4 linked regions of the Arabidopsis thaliana genome follow. The protein of the gene in region 3 interacts with the protein of the main gene of each other region in a pairwise test. Each region holds a gene or a part of one and is shown on either strand. Other genes may lie near its edges.

The links.
Region 1: the proteins of AT1G49010 (region 3) and MYB39 interact in a two-hybrid assay, tested with the Arabidopsis thaliana proteins (one large-scale study listed by BioGRID).
Region 2: the proteins of AT1G49010 (region 3) and AT3G19070 interact in a two-hybrid assay, tested with the Arabidopsis thaliana proteins (one large-scale study listed by BioGRID).
Region 4: the proteins of AT1G49010 (region 3) and INO interact in a two-hybrid assay, tested with the Arabidopsis thaliana proteins (one large-scale study listed by BioGRID).

The regions. Positions count from the first base shown.
Region 1 is NC_003075.7:9,880,766-9,885,329, reverse strand, and holds MYB39 (myb domain protein 39), read left to right. Parts: upstream 1-1,897; 5' UTR 1,898-1,961; coding exon 1,962-2,227; intron 2,228-2,562; coding exon 2,563-3,342; coding exon of another isoform or gene 3,343-3,346; exon of another isoform or gene 3,347-3,426; coding exon 3,427-3,463; 3' UTR 3,464-3,731; downstream 3,732-4,564. Other genes in the region: AT4G17780 (F-box and associated interaction domains-containing protein), read left to right, coding at 3,875-4,564.
Region 2 is NC_003074.8:6,591,953-6,595,800, forward strand, and holds AT3G19070 (Homeodomain-like superfamily protein), read left to right. Parts: upstream 1-1,820; coding exon 1,821-1,989; intron 1,990-2,069; coding exon 2,070-2,813; intron 2,814-2,897; coding exon 2,898-3,025; downstream 3,026-3,848. Other genes in the region: AT3G19055 (uncharacterized protein), read left to right, coding at 364-455, 544-668, 750-822, 939-990.
Region 3 is NC_003070.9:18,130,466-18,134,666, forward strand, and holds AT1G49010 (Duplicated homeodomain-like superfamily protein), read left to right. Parts: upstream 1-2,079; 5' UTR 2,080-2,248; coding exon 2,249-2,673; intron 2,674-2,793; coding exon 2,794-3,313; 3' UTR 3,314-3,552; downstream 3,553-4,201. Other genes in the region: AT1G49015 (DPP6 N-terminal domain-like protein), read left to right, coding at 4,063-4,112, 4,185-4,201.
Region 4 is NC_003070.9:8,314,976-8,320,188, reverse strand, and holds INO (Plant-specific transcription factor YABBY family protein), read right to left. Parts: upstream 2,893-5,213; 5' UTR 2,860-2,892; coding exon 2,665-2,859; intron 2,568-2,664; coding exon 2,430-2,567; intron 2,329-2,429; coding exon 2,178-2,328; intron 2,085-2,177; coding exon 2,036-2,084; intron 1,917-2,035; coding exon 1,841-1,916; intron 1,705-1,840; coding exon 1,606-1,704; intron 1,166-1,605; coding exon 1,085-1,165; 3' UTR 698-1,084; downstream 1-697. Other genes in the region: AT1G23410 (Ribosomal protein S27a / Ubiquitin family protein), read right to left, coding at 4,779-5,213. UniProt on the Arabidopsis thaliana protein: Essential for the formation and the abaxial-adaxial asymmetric growth of the ovule outer integument.

The sequences.
Region 1 (4,564 bases), on a different chromosome or scaffold from region 3:
AATCCAAACAAGAAAAAAGATAACCGATCTAGACTGAAAGTTTATACAATGTTATGAACTCATTTGAATTCGGAAGTCAATTTTAGCTACAGAGACCGAAAGAGTGAAGCAGCCATTGAATTACAAATTGACGACTATGTATCTGTTGCGTAAGCCGCGTAACAATAACATTACATAGAATTTTAAGGCTTGTCTTATCTATACTCGTTGACAATGTCAAATAAATATAGCATAGGAATTTTATACTATATGGTGCTACTAATTACATGGAACCCTTAATATATACGACTGTTTAAATAGTCAACGTGATAAATAGAGAGTTGGTAAGTGTTTGGTTTTAATTTGACAATGTGAAACAAGCCTGAACATTGACCCTTTAAACCATAACAGTAATTTAACGGTAAAAAAATAGTAATTAAGTATGTAAACAAGATCTTCCGTGAGAGTGAAATTAAACCTCATTATTTAAATTATACTAGTAAACATTTTCTCCAACCGTAGGAAATTTCGTTTTATGTTTTTTTTCTAATTTGTCGTGATCCTTCTCATTCCTTTGAAGACAACAAGATTCTATTATGAAAGATTTTTTCAAAGATCCAATAGTATAATACAACGTAATATATAATACCAACTTTATAGTTACACCTTCTAATAAAATCCACTTACTCGTTTATGTGTTCCTCACGCTATCGACTTAATGTTTGGAACCCGCGAGAGAAGTTCTTTAATTAAATTAGTCAATCGAAAAAAGCTATCCATTTCCTTTATCAAAGTAAATCAATTCGAAAATCTCGTATTAACTTGATCATCCAAATCCATATGTATATTTTCGAATAATATAAAACAGAAATTGAGATAACCTATACTAAAGAGAGTTTCACGTAAAAAATTTATATTTTCACGTAACAAAAAATTACAAAACAATTAAACAAAAAACAAATGATAATAGCATAGGTAATTTTTTGTGACTTGAAATTCAGAACGTATGGTAGGCACAAACGACGGTTTGGTAACAATAAGGAGAATAATAATAATCTTCGTTTGAATTCAAATAGAGGAAGAAGAAGCGAAAGGGTAGGCTTTGATCAACCATGAGACATTGAAGCAGGTAGAGATAATTCTTTGAATGCGGTGGAAGCAATCACATAATGATAAATGCAAGATTCCAATTTTGATGAACTTTGCAATGAGAACATAATATTGCTTTTCAATTAAATATTAGTTAAATATACCCTTCAAGAAAAGTAGTTAACAAGTTTAATTTATAATCATGCATTTATGCGAAATTCTTATTTGTAGGTTTTAATCTAAATAGAGAAATATACACATATATAGGAAATATTCAAAAATGATCACATGCATGTTTAATTTTTGAAAAATGTGGCTTTCTTTTATAACATAATTTCAATAAGATTAGTTTGAATTGCAGATTATGAAATAGTATATAATTTGTGATTGTTTTACAAGTAAAAGAGCGTAAGAAATTTGGTCCCAAAAAAAAAAGATTTTAGTAGGGAAATATCAACATTTTATTCTAACATAGCTAGGGCAAATATTTTATACATCTAACCCACAATAACAAAATCCATTAATGCATTAACAATTATTCGTATTCTTTTATATAAAAATTATTTGTTTGAACATCATCCCCACGAATTACTCTTCGAAGTTCGAACGCCATGACACATATCATATTATCAGTACCTAATCTTGATTTTGTTATAACTATTTTGGTTATTTAACTGATTTATTGAATGACTCATATATTGTAGACTTATGACACACTATGAAAAATAATATTTACACCAAATTCTGACGAATGCATACACAACTTTACTTTAGTTATGTCATGACTGCTTTTCACATCTATATATACATACAAACCTAATCGTAGGGAGCGACGAAACGAAGATCATATCTTCAAAAACCTCTGATAAGTTTTGGTTCTTGATATAAACAAAATGGGAAGATCACCGTGTTGCGATCAAGACAAAGGCGTGAAGAAAGGACCGTGGCTGCCAGAAGAAGATGATAAGCTCACTGCTTATATAAACGAGAATGGTTATGGGAATTGGCGGTCGCTTCCTAAGCTCGCTGGACTTAACCGCTGTGGCAAGAGCTGTCGGCTCCGGTGGATGAATTATCTCCGGCCTGATATCCGGAGAGGCAAATTTTCCGATGGAGAAGAGAGTACTATCGTTAGACTCCATGCCCTCCTTGGCAACAAGTAAGACTATTTTTTTTTCGTTAAAGCTTTTATGCTATTTTGTTAGCACTAAATGATTTAGGTCTCGCTTGTTTCAGACGTAATTATGTGTTCCTGTTTACATGTTTTTTTCATAATTTTAAAATATAAACCATTTTCAGTTCTTTTAAAATTAATATAAAGTGCAAAAACAAATTTACGTATGGATACCATTGCATAGTTTATTATTGCTATTATAGAATTCACATCCTCAAGACTATAGTCTAAACTTTAGTTTATAATTCTCTAACCATACAAAAGGTTAAGTTTTCGTTGGTTCATTTTACTAACGTTTGAGTCGAATTTTTACCATACAGATGGTCGAAAATTGCGGGTCATCTTCCAGGAAGAACAGATAATGAAATTAAAAACTATTGGAACACTCATATGAGGAAGAAGTTATTGCAAATGGGGATTGATCCAGTGACGCACGAGCCAAGAACCAACGATCTTAGCCCTATCCTCGATGTTTCTCAAATGCTCGCGGCAGCAATCAACAATGGCCAATTTGGTAACAATAACCTCCTCAACAATAACACCGCTTTGGAAGATATTCTTAAACTCCAATTGATCCATAAAATGCTTCAAATCATAACCCCCAAAGCCATACCAAACATCAGTAGCTTCAAGACCAATTTACTGAATCCTAAACCAGAACCGGTAGTCAATAGCTTCAATACCAATTCAGTGAATCCTAAACCGGATCCCCCGGCTGGTCTTTTCATAAACCAAAGTGGAATCACTCCTGAGGCCGCCTCGGATTTCATTCCATCTTATGAAAATGTTTGGGATGGTTTTGAAGATAACCAGCTTCCTGGTTTGGTTACGGTTTCTCAAGAGAGTTTAAATACAGCAAAACCGGGTACCAGTACGACCACCAAGGTAAATGATCATATCAGAACCGGTATGATGCCGTGTTACTATGGTGATCAACTACTAGAAACCCCATCTACTGGTTCGGTATCGGTCTCTCCCGAGACAACCAGTTTGAACCATCCCAGTACAGCTCAACACTCATCCGGTTCAGATTTCCTAGAGGACTGGGAGAAGTTTCTTGATGATGAAACAAGTGATTCTTGCTGGAAAAGTTTCTTAGAGTAAGATCTATCTCCGCATTGATTAACATAGTATATGATTTATATTTATGGTTTATTAACAGAATTGTTTTATCTAATCTGCAGCTTAACGTCACCCACATCGTCACCTGTCCCATGGTAGAACTGGATTTTGTTCGGGTCGTATACTCATAGTTTTAAAGACAATACATACACAAAGATATTCGATTAATACTCTTAATTTTGTTTGTTATTAAATATTGATTTAAAGTTTGTATATTTTCTTGTAAAGGAATTCTTATTTGTAATTTGTTCTTATTTGGTTTGGTTGTTGTGTAAAGAAACACATTGTAATCACCATTCTATTATTGCCCATTTAATAACAATATTTTGGATAAATATCTACGAGCAGTCTAATTTATACAATCAAACAACTCTATGGAAACATAACTTGATTCACAAGTTTAATAAAAATTCACCTATTTGCCAATAAGGAAATATATTAAAATGTCAATCTCTCGATGTTTCTAACAGAAAGATTGACAAAAAATCAAAAAACAAACAGTCACCAAGAATGGAGGAAGAAGAGAAAAACCCTAGTTCGATCTACATAGTTGCCGATCTTCTAGAAGATATATTCCTTCGACTTCCCTTGAAATCCATTCTCATATCGAAAAGCGTCTCAAAACGATGGAGATCAATTCTTGAGTCGAAGACGTTCGTGGAGAGACGAATGAGTCTTCAAAAGAAGCGCAAAATCCTGGCTGCTTACAACTGCAAATGCGGCTGGGAGCCTAGGCTCCTCCCCGGGTCGTCGCAGTGCAAAGGGAACGAAGAGATCGTCTATCTGCACTGCAACGCCGCACAACCCTCGTTTACTTGCGACGGTTTGGTCTGCATTCTCGAACCACGTTGGATAGACGTTTTGAACCCCTGGACAAGGCAACTCCGGCGATACGGATTCGGATTTGGAACCATATTTGGAGTAGGTTCGGCTTTCTCTCCAAGACATTGGGCAATGGGATTTGGTAAAGATAAAGTTACCGGAAGCTATAAAGTAGTGAAGATGTGTTTAATATCTTTCAGTGAAATTTGTGCACGTGATCCTGAGGTGGAGTATAGTGTTCTTGATGTCGAAACTGGTGAATGGCGGATGTTGAGTCCACCTCCTTATAAGGTCTTTGAGGTAAGAAAATCGGAGTGTGCGAATGGATCGATCTACTGGTTACACAAACCTACTGAGAGGGCTTGGACAATACTAGCC
Region 2 (3,848 bases), on a different chromosome or scaffold from region 3:
TACATTGTAGTGTATCGTCTCTAGTAGAGTTCAGCAGTGATCATGATCATCACTAATAGTTATGGCGTTCAATTTTCGTTTTCTCTAAATGTTTTTAAGAATTATCGAAGGAAACAAATATATACATTAAATGCTTCTTTAAAATATATAAACTCTGTTTAGAATTTCAGTATTGAAATCTAAATTATAGTTTGTTTAGATTTTACTAAAGATCCTAGTACTCCAATAAATACAATCTTTGTATTTTTAAATAACACTGATATTATTGATCTTATCCCTATCATTAAATTCAACGACAAAAGTAAACTTTGTTGCAAAAGAGAAGAAGACTATAATAGAGAGACGACAGATCTCGTTCTCAAGATGGTGCACTCGCATTACACATTTGAAATCCGACAGGCCCGTTCACATTTATTCTTAATTCGTCATCCTCGTCCAGGATACTTTAAGAAGAGGTAATTTCTAGGTTTTTAATGTGTTTTTTCCACTCTGATTTAAAATCCTTTCTTCTCTCCCAAGCTTCCCTTTGCTTTCAATCCCCAGGAGCTGGAAGGATTGTAATGAGTTCGAGCAAGAAATCTCAAAAATCGAATCATTTCCGGAAATAATATCCAGAATTGATGAATATGTTGCACAACTTAAGGAGGAGGTGGCCTATCTAAAGATAGGTATTTATTCAGAGTATCTATTTGATCATTCTTTCTATTTTATTCTCCTTTTTTATCTTTATGTGTTTCATATTCGTGTAGCCAAGGCGATTGTCGAAGAGAGGGCTAGGATTCGCTCCATAAAAAGAGCGGAGGCGCGTAAGGTTTTAGAAAAGTAAGTTTAACAATTGACGACTTTTTAGAGAAATTTTTAATGATATTGACGACTTAGATGATTAATTATGATCATTATCAACCGTTTAATGATTACTTTTACTTTAATAGTTTAAGGCAAACTCTACTCGGGGAGATGAGGAAGAGGAAGGCTGACGAGGATCTATGAGAACTGATGATCACATAAACTTCATGCTACATGCAATAAACGCGGTTAATTGGGTTTTGTTTTTTCTTCAACATCAACCCGACCTAGCTAGGGTATTATCTATATATATGGGACATCTTATCATCTGATCTGCATGTACCTATTTTTATTATTATAAATGCTTCATATATTAAGAAGAAAAGTTGTAGGCTTGTAGCAACCGATTCATAGTGGAAAATCCTTTTTTTTTTTTTTATGAAAATCAGATCGGCCGCAAAAACAACTTTCACCATGCACGAAGCTAGAAACTGCATTGATGTACCGTGTACGCTGTTTTTAATATAAAATAATTGCAGTTTTATTAGTTAGGCTACAAATATGAAATCAGGAGAAATATACCAATTAATGTACGTCCTAATTGCTTGGTATGTTACATAACCTTAAGTTGTATAATATTTATTAATTTATTTTATACTGGAGTTGATAGCTTTAAAAGTTGAGAGCAAAGTAACTTGAGACCATTTTAGAGTTAGCAAAGTAATGGAGAAAATAAGAAAAATCACACGCATGCAGCATGATGTATAATTATTGGAAACATGTATTTCCAAGAAAGTAATCAGTTCTCTGTACGCCTGAATTCGATTTTCATAAAGCTCACTTCCTTGGATTGCTAGAGCAAACATTTATATTGATATCTGCGTTAACATCATAACATGTGGGTTTTTAGTAATTCTCAACAGTATGGGTATTTTTGCTCTCTCTAGAGAGGGTAAATTTGTGATTCCATCTGCAAATTATTCCTCCTATATATATATAGAACGTGATGAATCAAATTTCTTAAGTTGCAAGCCATGACTAATCTTGATGAGTTTCTTGAAGAGCTAAGTTCTATTGAATCACATTCTCAGAAAATCGTGAAGATAGATGAGCATTTAAAAAAGTTGGATGAAGAGACGAAAGAAGATGAAGATGAAGATGCGGCGAAGATAATTCAAGATCGGAGTACCGCGAGAGAAGCAGGTTAATTTCTTCTCCTTCACCTTGTAATTTAAAGTTGTTCCTCTCTCATTCTCAAATCTTGTTGGGTCTTGGAAACGCAGAAATTGCTCTACTTATGGATCTCCGTCAGAACTTTCTTCCACCACCATCGATGTCATCCTCCTCTCTTCAACCACCGTCATCGTCAACTCTCGCACCATCGTCATCATCCTCTCTTCAACCACCCGCACCGTTGATAGACTTCTTTCGGTCATCAGTGTCATACTCTCATCAACCACCGTCATCTTCAACTCTCGCAACATCATCGTCACCGTCTCTTCAACCACCGTCGATGTCATCCTCCTCTCTTCAACCACCCGCATCTTTGAGGGAATTCTTTACGTCGTCAGTGTCATACTCTCATCAGCCATCTTCATCTTCAACTCTCGCAACATCTTCGTTCTTTCCGTCGTCAATGCCATACTCTGTTCGACCTCCCGATTCGTCTGATCGACCATCTTTGAGGGAATTCTTTCCGTCGTCACCATCATCCTCTATTCAGCCACCCGAATCATCATCATCTAAGCGAGCACGGCTTAGTAACATCTTTCCGTCACCTTTATCCTCCTCTCCGTCACCGTTTGTTAACCCGTTTCTCCGTCCGCAGGCCCAAGAACCAACAATACCAAATTTCATAAACCCAATACCACAGATCTCTCCAGGCCTACCTGCTCTATTCCCAAACCCTAACCCTAATCCTAACCCTAACCCAATCCCAAACCCAATCCGAAACCCAGACTTGGTGTGGACAAATAGGCTTCAACTAGTGTTTGATGACGCAGTTGTCAGACTTGGGGGATTATTCAGTATGCAACTTTATAATTTTTTTATTTATTTTGTTTATTCTTTCAACTCCTAACTATTTTCCTAATTTTTTTTTTTTTTTTCAGGTGCAACACCCAAAGCCATAAACGAACTAATTTCTGAAGAGGGTCTCACTGGTGACCAGATCCGTAGCCACTTACAAGTCTTGCGGGATCGTCAAAAGGCTATTGCAGACAAATTAGCCTTGGAGTGAAGAAAATATTGAAGATGAGAGATAGGATTAAATAGAAAGAGTGATAGTATAGAACGTTTCTTTTTCTTTTGTTGTTAATCTTGCATATTACAAACAATTACTATATCATAATAGAATTTATGTTAATGTTGGAGTTATTAAAAAAAAAAAAGTTAACCATAATAACATTCTTACTGTACGCATGAGTGATCATTTATCACAATCTATTAGAGCAACCCCAATGGGTGGGATGATGACAGTCCCTAAAAAACCAAAAAATAATAATATTTTAATTTTTTAACATAGTTTGACAACTAAAAAACCTACACATGTACATTTAATCTTCAGGTCCCTTATATAAGGGTTTTTGGAGCCCTTCTCTCCTGTGTCCCTTCCATTTTAATTATTTTTTTTTTTTTTATATTGTAAGGGACCTTAAGAGAGACCACCATTGCTGGTGCAGGCTGTAGAAAAATTTGTTTAGCTTCTCCTTCTTTTCTTAATTTTGACAGATAAGTCTCAGCCTCTCTCCCCCCATAAGGGTATGTCTTGACATTTAGATTCGTTGAATCAAAAGTTTTTCATGTTTGTTCATATTGTGGTCTAATCTTCTTAGGCAGATATGACCTCAGGGAAGAAAGATTATTATGAGTTGCTCAAAACTACAATCTTTAAATAAATATTTGGGTGATGAAACTTCTAGTTCTTTTTTTTTTTTGGTCTAAAATGAAACTATTACTTCTAGAAGAGAAATATCCAACTCTTTTTTTTATTCCAAGCAAATGATAACCAAAAATGCAATAAAGGTGTTAATTTTTATCATAAATATATTCTAACTATGGTC
Region 3 (4,201 bases):
ACTTGATTTTATGATTTGCTTTGATTCGAAACTTTCCGGATATCCGGAATTTTGAATATCCGAATTTTTTTGTGATATTTGCGGATATCTACTTTGATACGTATAAATATTAAAAAAATATGTAAACTATATAAGCATATCAGATATTCAAAATTTTTATTTAACATACTTTCAAAATAAGTTATAAATACCAAATATAACCTTTGTTGTTATTACCGGTCAACAAAAATGTTATCAAACTAATTCCAAAAACTAAAATCCGATAGTTTAATTTTGATGTCATTGATCAAAACACAACATAAAAAAAATGATAAAACAAACATCTTAACATAAAAACATAAGGTAGCAACAATACACAAACTATTTATGATATCTACATATAGATATAACTATATATTCTAATATATATCAAAAGATACGGATCAAAGCGGATATTCGATTTTAAAAAAGACAATATTTGCTATTTGATTCGGTTTTTACGAATACTACATTTTCATATTTGCTTTGGTCCAAAATCTTACGGATATTCGGATTTTTTGAATCAAATCAAATCGAATACCGAATCGAAGCGGATCGAACGAATATTTTACCCAGCCCCAATAAAGGCTATAACACACCTTGAGAAAGTTCAAATTCCTCAAGACATAGAAAGTAGCTAAAATATTCAAGAAACGTCTCCAACAAAAGCCCAAATATTAACAACTGGAAATATAAAAGGTTGTCTACAAAAAGCTAGCCAGCAATTTTTCAATGAATTAAGTACCCGTTAAGTTGATTTTTTCACATATTTTGATTCATTTACACTTTTTTGTTGTTGTCTTATAGAAAGTAAAGTATCCGATTCATTTAGACTTTTAAGTGTCCATATATATATGGTGTGAGATCTCACAATTCAAAAAAAACTTATTATTGAAGTGAAAGATGGTAAGAACTTTAACAAAAAAAAAAAGAAAAAAAAAAAAAGATCGTACCTTAGTGACTTGGGTGGGGTGACATACGCAGGGAAGCCTAACAGTCAAGCTCCTTATCGCGAAAGGCCCATTACCTTCCAAAGACAAATTCTGGATCAGATGACCATTATATATACGAGCTTATTTGGAAGAAAATCTTCATTCAACAACCCATCTATTAATTTCCACCTATTATTTAAAAGAGAGATGAGAAATGACGTAAAAAAAAAAAAAAAAACGTTTTTCTAGCTCTAGAAATTTATAGATGGGTTGTTGAATGAAGATTTATCATTTTATGTATTCGATACTATGTTAAATAAATTTCTTTAATCGAGTTTGTTTTCATGCATGTTCTATTAACAAGTATGTAGATCTTGGAAAAAGAAAATATTTTGATCTTGATAAAATTCTTTTTCAAATCTCGATTAGTTTATTGTTTTTCCGAATTTTGCATTTATACTATTTATGTGATGTTCGTTTGTTAGTCGTTGGCGACCGCGACCAAATGTTGTTCGTATGGAAGTCGCTGGATATAGCGACCTGCGATTATAATTTTTGGTCGCTATTTATCTTTACGACTGATTATAAAACGCGATGTCTGAATTCAGTAAACTCGGCGACGGTATTGTTTTACATTCTTTTACATTTTAAAACTCTATTATTTACATTCTCTATTAATTATAATGATGCTCACTAATATAAAGTTTTAAAATGTGATCAATTGTTTCAAACTGCATTTGTCTTAACAAAATTCAAAAAAAAAATATAAATTTTTTGAAATAAATGTTTTATAAATATCAAAAGGTAAAGCTACACTAATCTTTTGCATTGTATTCGAGTAATATAAATCGAAATGACCAAAGTCTCTAAAGAATGAATAAGGATCAAATTTCAAAGAAAAGTGAAGAGTAATCGTCAACTACAAGAATCTTATCCTATGCGTACTCTTTCCTTATGAGTGACACAATAGAAAACAAACCCAACTGATTGATCCTTGTGAATAAGATAAAGTCCCAATCAACCTCTTACTTATCCTGCGCATATGCACTGTCCTCTATACTATCATGCGCATATACAAATGTCCATTCTTATCATGCGCATATACAAATGTCCATTCTTATCATGCGCACCTCAACTTAATACCAAACAAAAAAAAAAGTTTCACAAAACTCCAAAAGGTAAAGAATCTGACCCATTCACATATGCGTTTCAAAAACACTATCATGTCCACCACACGATTAAACCAAAGAGAAGAGAGAGAGAGAGAGAAACAGAGAAGAAAAGATTGAAGCAATCGAATGGAGAGTGTGGTGGCAACATGGAGCAGAGAAGAAGAGAAAGCATTCGAGAACGCAATTGCGTTGCATTGTGTAGAGGAAGAGATAACAGAGGATCAATGGAACAAAATGTCGTCAATGGTACCAAGCAAAGCCTTAGAAGAAGTAAAGAAACATTACCAAATCCTTTTAGAAGATGTCAAAGCAATCGAGAATGGTCAAGTTCCTTTACCTCGTTATCATCACCGCAAAGGTCTCATCGTAGATGAAGCAGCAGCAGCAGCTACTTCTCCTGCCAACAGAGACTCTCATTCCTCTGGATCATCTGAGAAGAAACCAAATCCTGGCACCTCCGGGATAAGTAGCTCCAATGGAGGAAGAAGTGGTGGCTCGAGAGCTGAGCAAGAGAGAAGAAAAGGGATTCCATGGACTGAAGAAGAGCATCGGTTTCTTCTTCTTCTCCTTCATCTCCATCATCTATCCATTGATATTATTTAGACTTAAAAGAGTGAAAAAAGATTTGGAAGATTCTTTACCTTTATTGAATACTCTGTTTTGTTTGGAAGGTTGTTTCTTTTGGGTTTGGACAAGTTTGGGAAAGGAGATTGGAGAAGCATTTCAAGGAACTTTGTGATCTCAAGAACTCCAACACAAGTTGCAAGTCATGCTCAAAAATACTTCATCAGGCTTAACTCGATGAACCGAGATAGAAGGCGGTCTAGCATTCACGACATCACCACTGTGAACAATCAAGCTCCTGCGGTTACAGGAGGAGGACAACAACCGCAAGTGGTTAAACATAGACCAGCTCAGCCACAACCACAGCCACAACCGCAACCACAACAACATCATCCCCCAACAATGGCTGGATTAGGGATGTATGGTGGTGCGCCAGTGGGACAACCGATCATCGCACCACCTGATCATATGGGTTCAGCTGTTGGAACACCTGTGATGCTTCCACCTCCAATGGGAACTCATCATCATCACCATCACCATCATCTTGGAGTTGCTCCTTATGCTGTACCGGCTTATCCGGTACCGCCATTACCGCAGCAACATCCAGCTCCGTCGACAATGCACTGACTGAAAACAATACAGTTGGTATTAAAACTGACATATATTGTACTGAAAACTTGTGTACATTCTCAAATCGAATAGCGAAACTGCGGCAAATAATAATGTACAGCAGAGGAATCTGTTTTTCCATTTCAAATCTATGATTTTCTTCTCAATATATTTCTTGAAACAAAGGCCTATAGGAGGATTTCATATTCAGACAGTAGAGAGAAAGTTGAATAGAAGTATACATAGATACAACAAACAAAACATATTAAAGAGTCATAGACCAAGTGTTGACTAGAAAATTTCACCAAAAAATACTAAAAGTAGCGTAGCATGTTACTATGTAGCTGCCAAAATTGAAGTTTTATAATCTAAGAGGTGAGATAATGGGGTCTCAAGTTTATACTTATCAGAGAAGATCTCTTGTAACTGAAAATAGGCATGATGAAACCAATTGAGCAATTTGTTTGCAAAATACATAACAAAAACGTAGAAGCACAGGCCAACCTGATCTCTTATTCCAGGGAAAAAAAGTAACCAAGTCCAAAAATATGATAAGAAGAGAAGTAAAGATTCAATAATGTAAAATTCTTACAAGAGGTTAAGAATGGTAAAAACTTTTCAAGTGCCAAACTGGTGACAGACGAGAGATTCCATAGATCATCGTTGCTTCTCTACTTCCAATCTCATTTTGATGCAAAGTATTCTTATTTGCATCCAAATTGCAGGAACCCTGGTTAAGAATCTTTGATGTGAGAACTGGGAGAATAATGGCTGGAGTAGATGGTCATGTTGTTGACAACTCATGGCCTATAATTAGGTACTTTCTTGAATTTCCTTTGAATAGAATTCTTAATACATTCATTGACATAACCTCTCTTTTTTTCCTTAGATGGGCTGGGGGAAAAG
Region 4 (5,213 bases), 9.8 Mb from region 3:
CTTTCGTTTCTGTCCGGTTCGATCTCCTCCCGTTTTTCTTTTTCGGTGTGGTCCGAATTGATTTGGTTCTCTCCTTGTCTCTACTCTAAAGATCTGATCGAGATCTCATCTGTTCATTGGCTGGTTTCCTTCGAGGCGCTAAACAATCATATTCTTTAATTCGCCGATTCCGGGAGTGTAGGTGTGACTTGTCGTCTTTGGCCTAGTTCTTCTCGCCGGTATGGATTCCTTGGAACTCTTCTATGTAAGGTAGTCTTCATCGTAATAGGTGGCACCGCTGTCCGTTTGGTTGGGAGTTCCTTGTCTCCTACGGAGTGGCTTGTTGTAAAGCTCTGCCTTTCCTTTGTCTGGTAATGTGGTTGACGAGATGTTGTGTTTAAAATTTTGGTTGTTTTGGTCTGCTTCTTTGTTTCAGTTTCGCAACTTTGCTTTGTTTGTAAGGTTTGTTTTGCCTTGTTGTCTCCCTTTCCTTTGGGTTTTGCTTCCAAGACTATCCTTTTAATCGTCGGCTTAGTTTTCTGGTGTTACTTGTTAACCGCCGGCTTTATATTTCACTTTTGTATTTCACCGGAATCTCTATAATAAATTTTCAGACGACAAAAAAAAAAAGTAACTTAGAAAGGTCAAATGTCAAAACAAAAAGTGTTTTTTTTTTAGTAAGTGTTTTTCTCCATCGTACGTACAAAAGCATTGAGCGCGCGAAGTCAAGAAGGATCTTTATTATGATAGGTTAACAAAGATTCTTACTAAAGTACTGTTTCATGGAATGTTAAAACATTCATGGAATAAGAGTAGTCATGAATGCAAAAGTAGAATTTTTTTTATAGAGTCAATGCATGTCTCTTCAAATTAAGTTCAAAGTTGACAAGTACTACGAAATTACTGAACAAACTCGCTCATTCCCAAGGACTCTTCTCGAACACACACAAATCCTACTTCCGTTTCAGATTCTTCTTCTCTCTATCTCTCTCCAACAACAGAAACCCTAAACCAACATAATCAAACCCTAGAAGAAAAGAGTCACCATCACATGTCATACGCCATTATTTATTTTTTTGTTAAATTTTCATATCCCAAATTGTTATTACTCAAATGGAGATTTTCCCCAAATGGAATGCCTCTGAGCCTTTCTCTCTCGGAACCCATTATTGCTTTCTTCATGGTCCTGCATCACAAACATTTCAACAATTATTTGGTATATTAATTGAAAACTATACATATTCAGCTTCAATGTTTTAAATTAGTTGAATGGGTTTCTATAAAAGTAAACTGTGTGCAGTGTAAGCTTCAATACTATAAAAGGGTTTAGGTCATAAATTTCACACATTGTAGTAGTTGAAGATCAATGATATATTCTCACAATCTCACTTACCCTTCTCCTTGCTTTCACTCTAATAATTAGTAAATGATTTCTCTTTATATAATTAGTCTAGCTAGGGTTCTGAAATTTTGACTGAGAGCGATGCTATTTGGATCTAGTTAATGCTTTAATTATTTGGTTTGCTTTGGAAAATGACACTTGTTGTGGAGTTTACTTGTCAAGAATATGGTAATTGATTTTGAAGCGAAAGTGATTAAAAAATATAAATGGTTGCTGAGGATTACCTCAAAAACATTGCATGGTAGTATCGCATTGTTATCTTCCTCACAAAAACATTGATCTGAAGCAGCTCTCTTGTTGTGAGCTGGAGGAAAATGGGCCCACTTCGCCATCCCCAAATCAAAAAATTGAAATCATAAAATGTTATTAGCTAACTCGATCTGTCAATTAAGCTAACAAAAAGATGAAAACTATATTAGGGTTTTCTTTTAAATCTTAAGACTAATTAAGCTTAAGTACATTTTTGGCAGCTAAGCTGAAAGCTTCCTTGTGAGCCATGCTTGGATTCTGAGCCTTTAACCTCCTGATCTCTTCCCTGCTCCAATACAACCCCCAAAGAAGAACCATTTTACAAACTCAAAACCTTAAGTGGTTAAATTTGTAAGAATATATATAATATACATACACATGTAATGTGTTGAATTTATTTCTTACTTGATGAAGCAATTGTAAGCTGAAGGAGCTCTTTGTCGCTTCTCAGGTGCTATATATATACAAACTCAAAACATAATTAGACGACTGATGAAAGGAGAAATCGCAAAACTAAAGTTTAAGTTGAATTTATACTCAAACGTACGTTTATTGACAACTTGGTAAACACGAGACACATCTTCATCTTCATTGTCTGAAGATGAAACCAAAGTCGTTGGACTGTTCTCCTTCTCCTGATTCACCTTCCATGCTTCTTCTTCCACACCATCTGTAGCTGCAACCTCCTCTTTCCCGGTCTGCACATATATTTACATATAATCAAAAGTAAGTATATATATATATATATTGGTCATATTTAGATGGTGTGTGTTTGTCTATGTATAGATGTTATGGAAACCTCATCAAGATGGGAGAGAGAAGCAAGGAGATGGAGAGGAATGAAGGAAGCCTTCATCAAATTGACAGAGAGAAGGCTTGTGCAATGCCCACATCTCACAGTCACCACCATTGACAAGCTTGTAAACGGTACACTCACCTGCAACACATTTACACTCATTAAACTCATGATCATATATATAAAGAGAGGAAGGGAGAAAGGAAGGGAGAGAATAAGAGAAGAAGTTAAGGTATACCAGCAAAATAGTGGTGCAAAAACCACACTGGACATGGCAAATCTGCCCCGGCAGATCAAATAGATGGTTGAGTGTTGTCGTCATGTTGGGGAGCTTTGTCATAGAGAGTGTGTGTGTACGATGAATGATAGGAGATATATGTGTGTGTGTGTGTGTGTATATATAGACAGAGAGATAGGTTTTGTTAATATTCATTAATGCAAATATGTAATTATATTTATATCTTTCATGTGGAATGCTTTGGTTATATGCTAAAATGCACAATACAATTCAACTTATGTACGTCTCTATCTCACTTGTAATAATTGGAATCTTCATAGTCTCTATGAGCTGTAAGCAGTAAATGATTCTCATTCTTTCTATTAATCACATTCCTAACTCCTTAATATTCAAACTACATTTTCTTCTCTAAAATAAAATAAAATAAAATGATGTATATAATACTTTTGTTGATGATGGAGTTTAATTAAGAATTTTCGTTATACAAAAGCATTGTTATAAGATTTTTATGTTATGTCACACTCACAAAATATATATGACAAATGATACATAACGTTTGAGCGTTTACCATTAGAGGAGACATTTTTTGTTGTCAAAACAATTTAAAACACTTAATAACCTATAAACAGAAAATATATAAGCTCCCTTCAAAAACCATTTCAGGATTTTTCTGATAAATAAGCATACAAGATAATATGTGTTATTGTAAGATAACACTAGGTTAAACAAAAAAATAACAAGAGATAAAAATCGATGGTAAAGAGTATGAGTATTAAAAATGAACATGTGAAAATGGAAAGGCACGTTGCACAAGAGGAGATAGATAGACATCGAAGAGAGCTGGGGTTAATAAATGATGTGATGTGGTGGTGTGGTTTGGTTTGCAAGTTAGAAAGAAAGAAAAAAACAAGTGAGGTTGAGAAAGAAATGCCTCTTTGTCTCATGTGTAGTTGTCTCTTTAAATGGGATTTAATGAATCTCTCACAAAACTCAACAGTCTTTTGGAGTTTTGGTTGAAGTGAGACTGAAAATGAAAGTGCAGTGAGTTGAGACTAGTGCGGGTGTTTCTAGGAGACTCATCACTTTTAGTAACTCGGAATCTTAGGATTTTGTCTTTCTTCTCTCACATTTTTGCTAACTGTTTCTTGACCATTTTACCCAAACTCTTCTCTCTCTCTCTCTCTCTATTTCTTCAAGTTTCAGTGCTTTCTCTCTGTGTCATGTTATTTCTACTGTCCCTCTCTTTATTGCTTTCTCTCTCTCTCACTTACTCTCATCTCCTATTTTGTGTTCAACCACAAGAAAAAGACTAAACATAATACTAATATTTACTCAATTTCCTACACATTTGTAATTTTTGTGTGGGTGGAATCCAATGCAATGACCCAACCCCGGAGTGAACAAGTTTCGACCCATTTTGAGAGATCACATAATTTACCGACCCATTAATAAGTTTCGATCCATTTTCATAAGCCTATTGATGAGTAATTGAGTAGGAGGTACACATTTGTGATTTGAGAGATTAGAGGTTAAAATTATACATTGTAATCATAGTTATGGCTTCTGGTTTAACAGTCTTTTACTCCATATATACTGATATACATCTCATTTCTAGTCTCAAACTTTTACATGACAGCTTATAGATTGGTCAAATCTCACTGTTAACATAAATAGAAGCTGTGAAATGACGATAAAATGTGCAAAGACAAACGCACGTTAATGTCAAACACATAATCAATATCTGAGAGAATTTAAACTTATCTTAGCAAACAAGTTATCAGAGCCAACAACAACAAAACTTCAAGACATTGGTGTAAGAATATGATCAGAATCAACATAATGGCTAAATTTTGCCTTGCACTAATCCAGGTTAAAACTAAAACAATGTCGCAAAGAATTGTTCCAACACAACGTCCTAATTCTACAGCCACAATTCAACATTTCCACATCAGTCAAAGCATAATGAAACAAAAAAAAAATTGATCAAATTTCTAATCAAAGATAATATAATGTATTATGCAACAATTAAACCATCCCTCAATAGTATAAAACCATCTCAAAATATCTGAATTAAAAAAAAAACAATCTAAATTCCAAAAGCAAAAAGACATAACCTACTCTTCATCAGCCTTCTTGAACACGTAAGTAGTTCCACATTTCCCACAATAATGCCTATCGAAATGACTCGCCATGAAAGTTCCAGGACCACAACTAACAGAAGGACACTCTTTCTTCAACCTCTGAACTTTCCCACTTCCATCAACCTTGTAAAACTGCAGAACTGCTAGCTTCACTTTCTTGTGCGTATGCTTAATCTTCTTAGGTTTCGTGTACGTCTTCTTCTTCCTCTTCTTCGCACCTCCTCTCAGACGTAGAACCAAATGAAGCGTCGACTCTTTCTGGATGTTGTAATCAGCTAGTGTTCTTCCATCTTCCAATTGTTTTCCGGCGAAGATCAACCGTTGCTGATCCGGTGGGATTCCTTCCTTGTCTTGGATCTTCGCTTTCACATTGTCGATTGTGTCTGATGATTCTACCTCTAAGGTTAT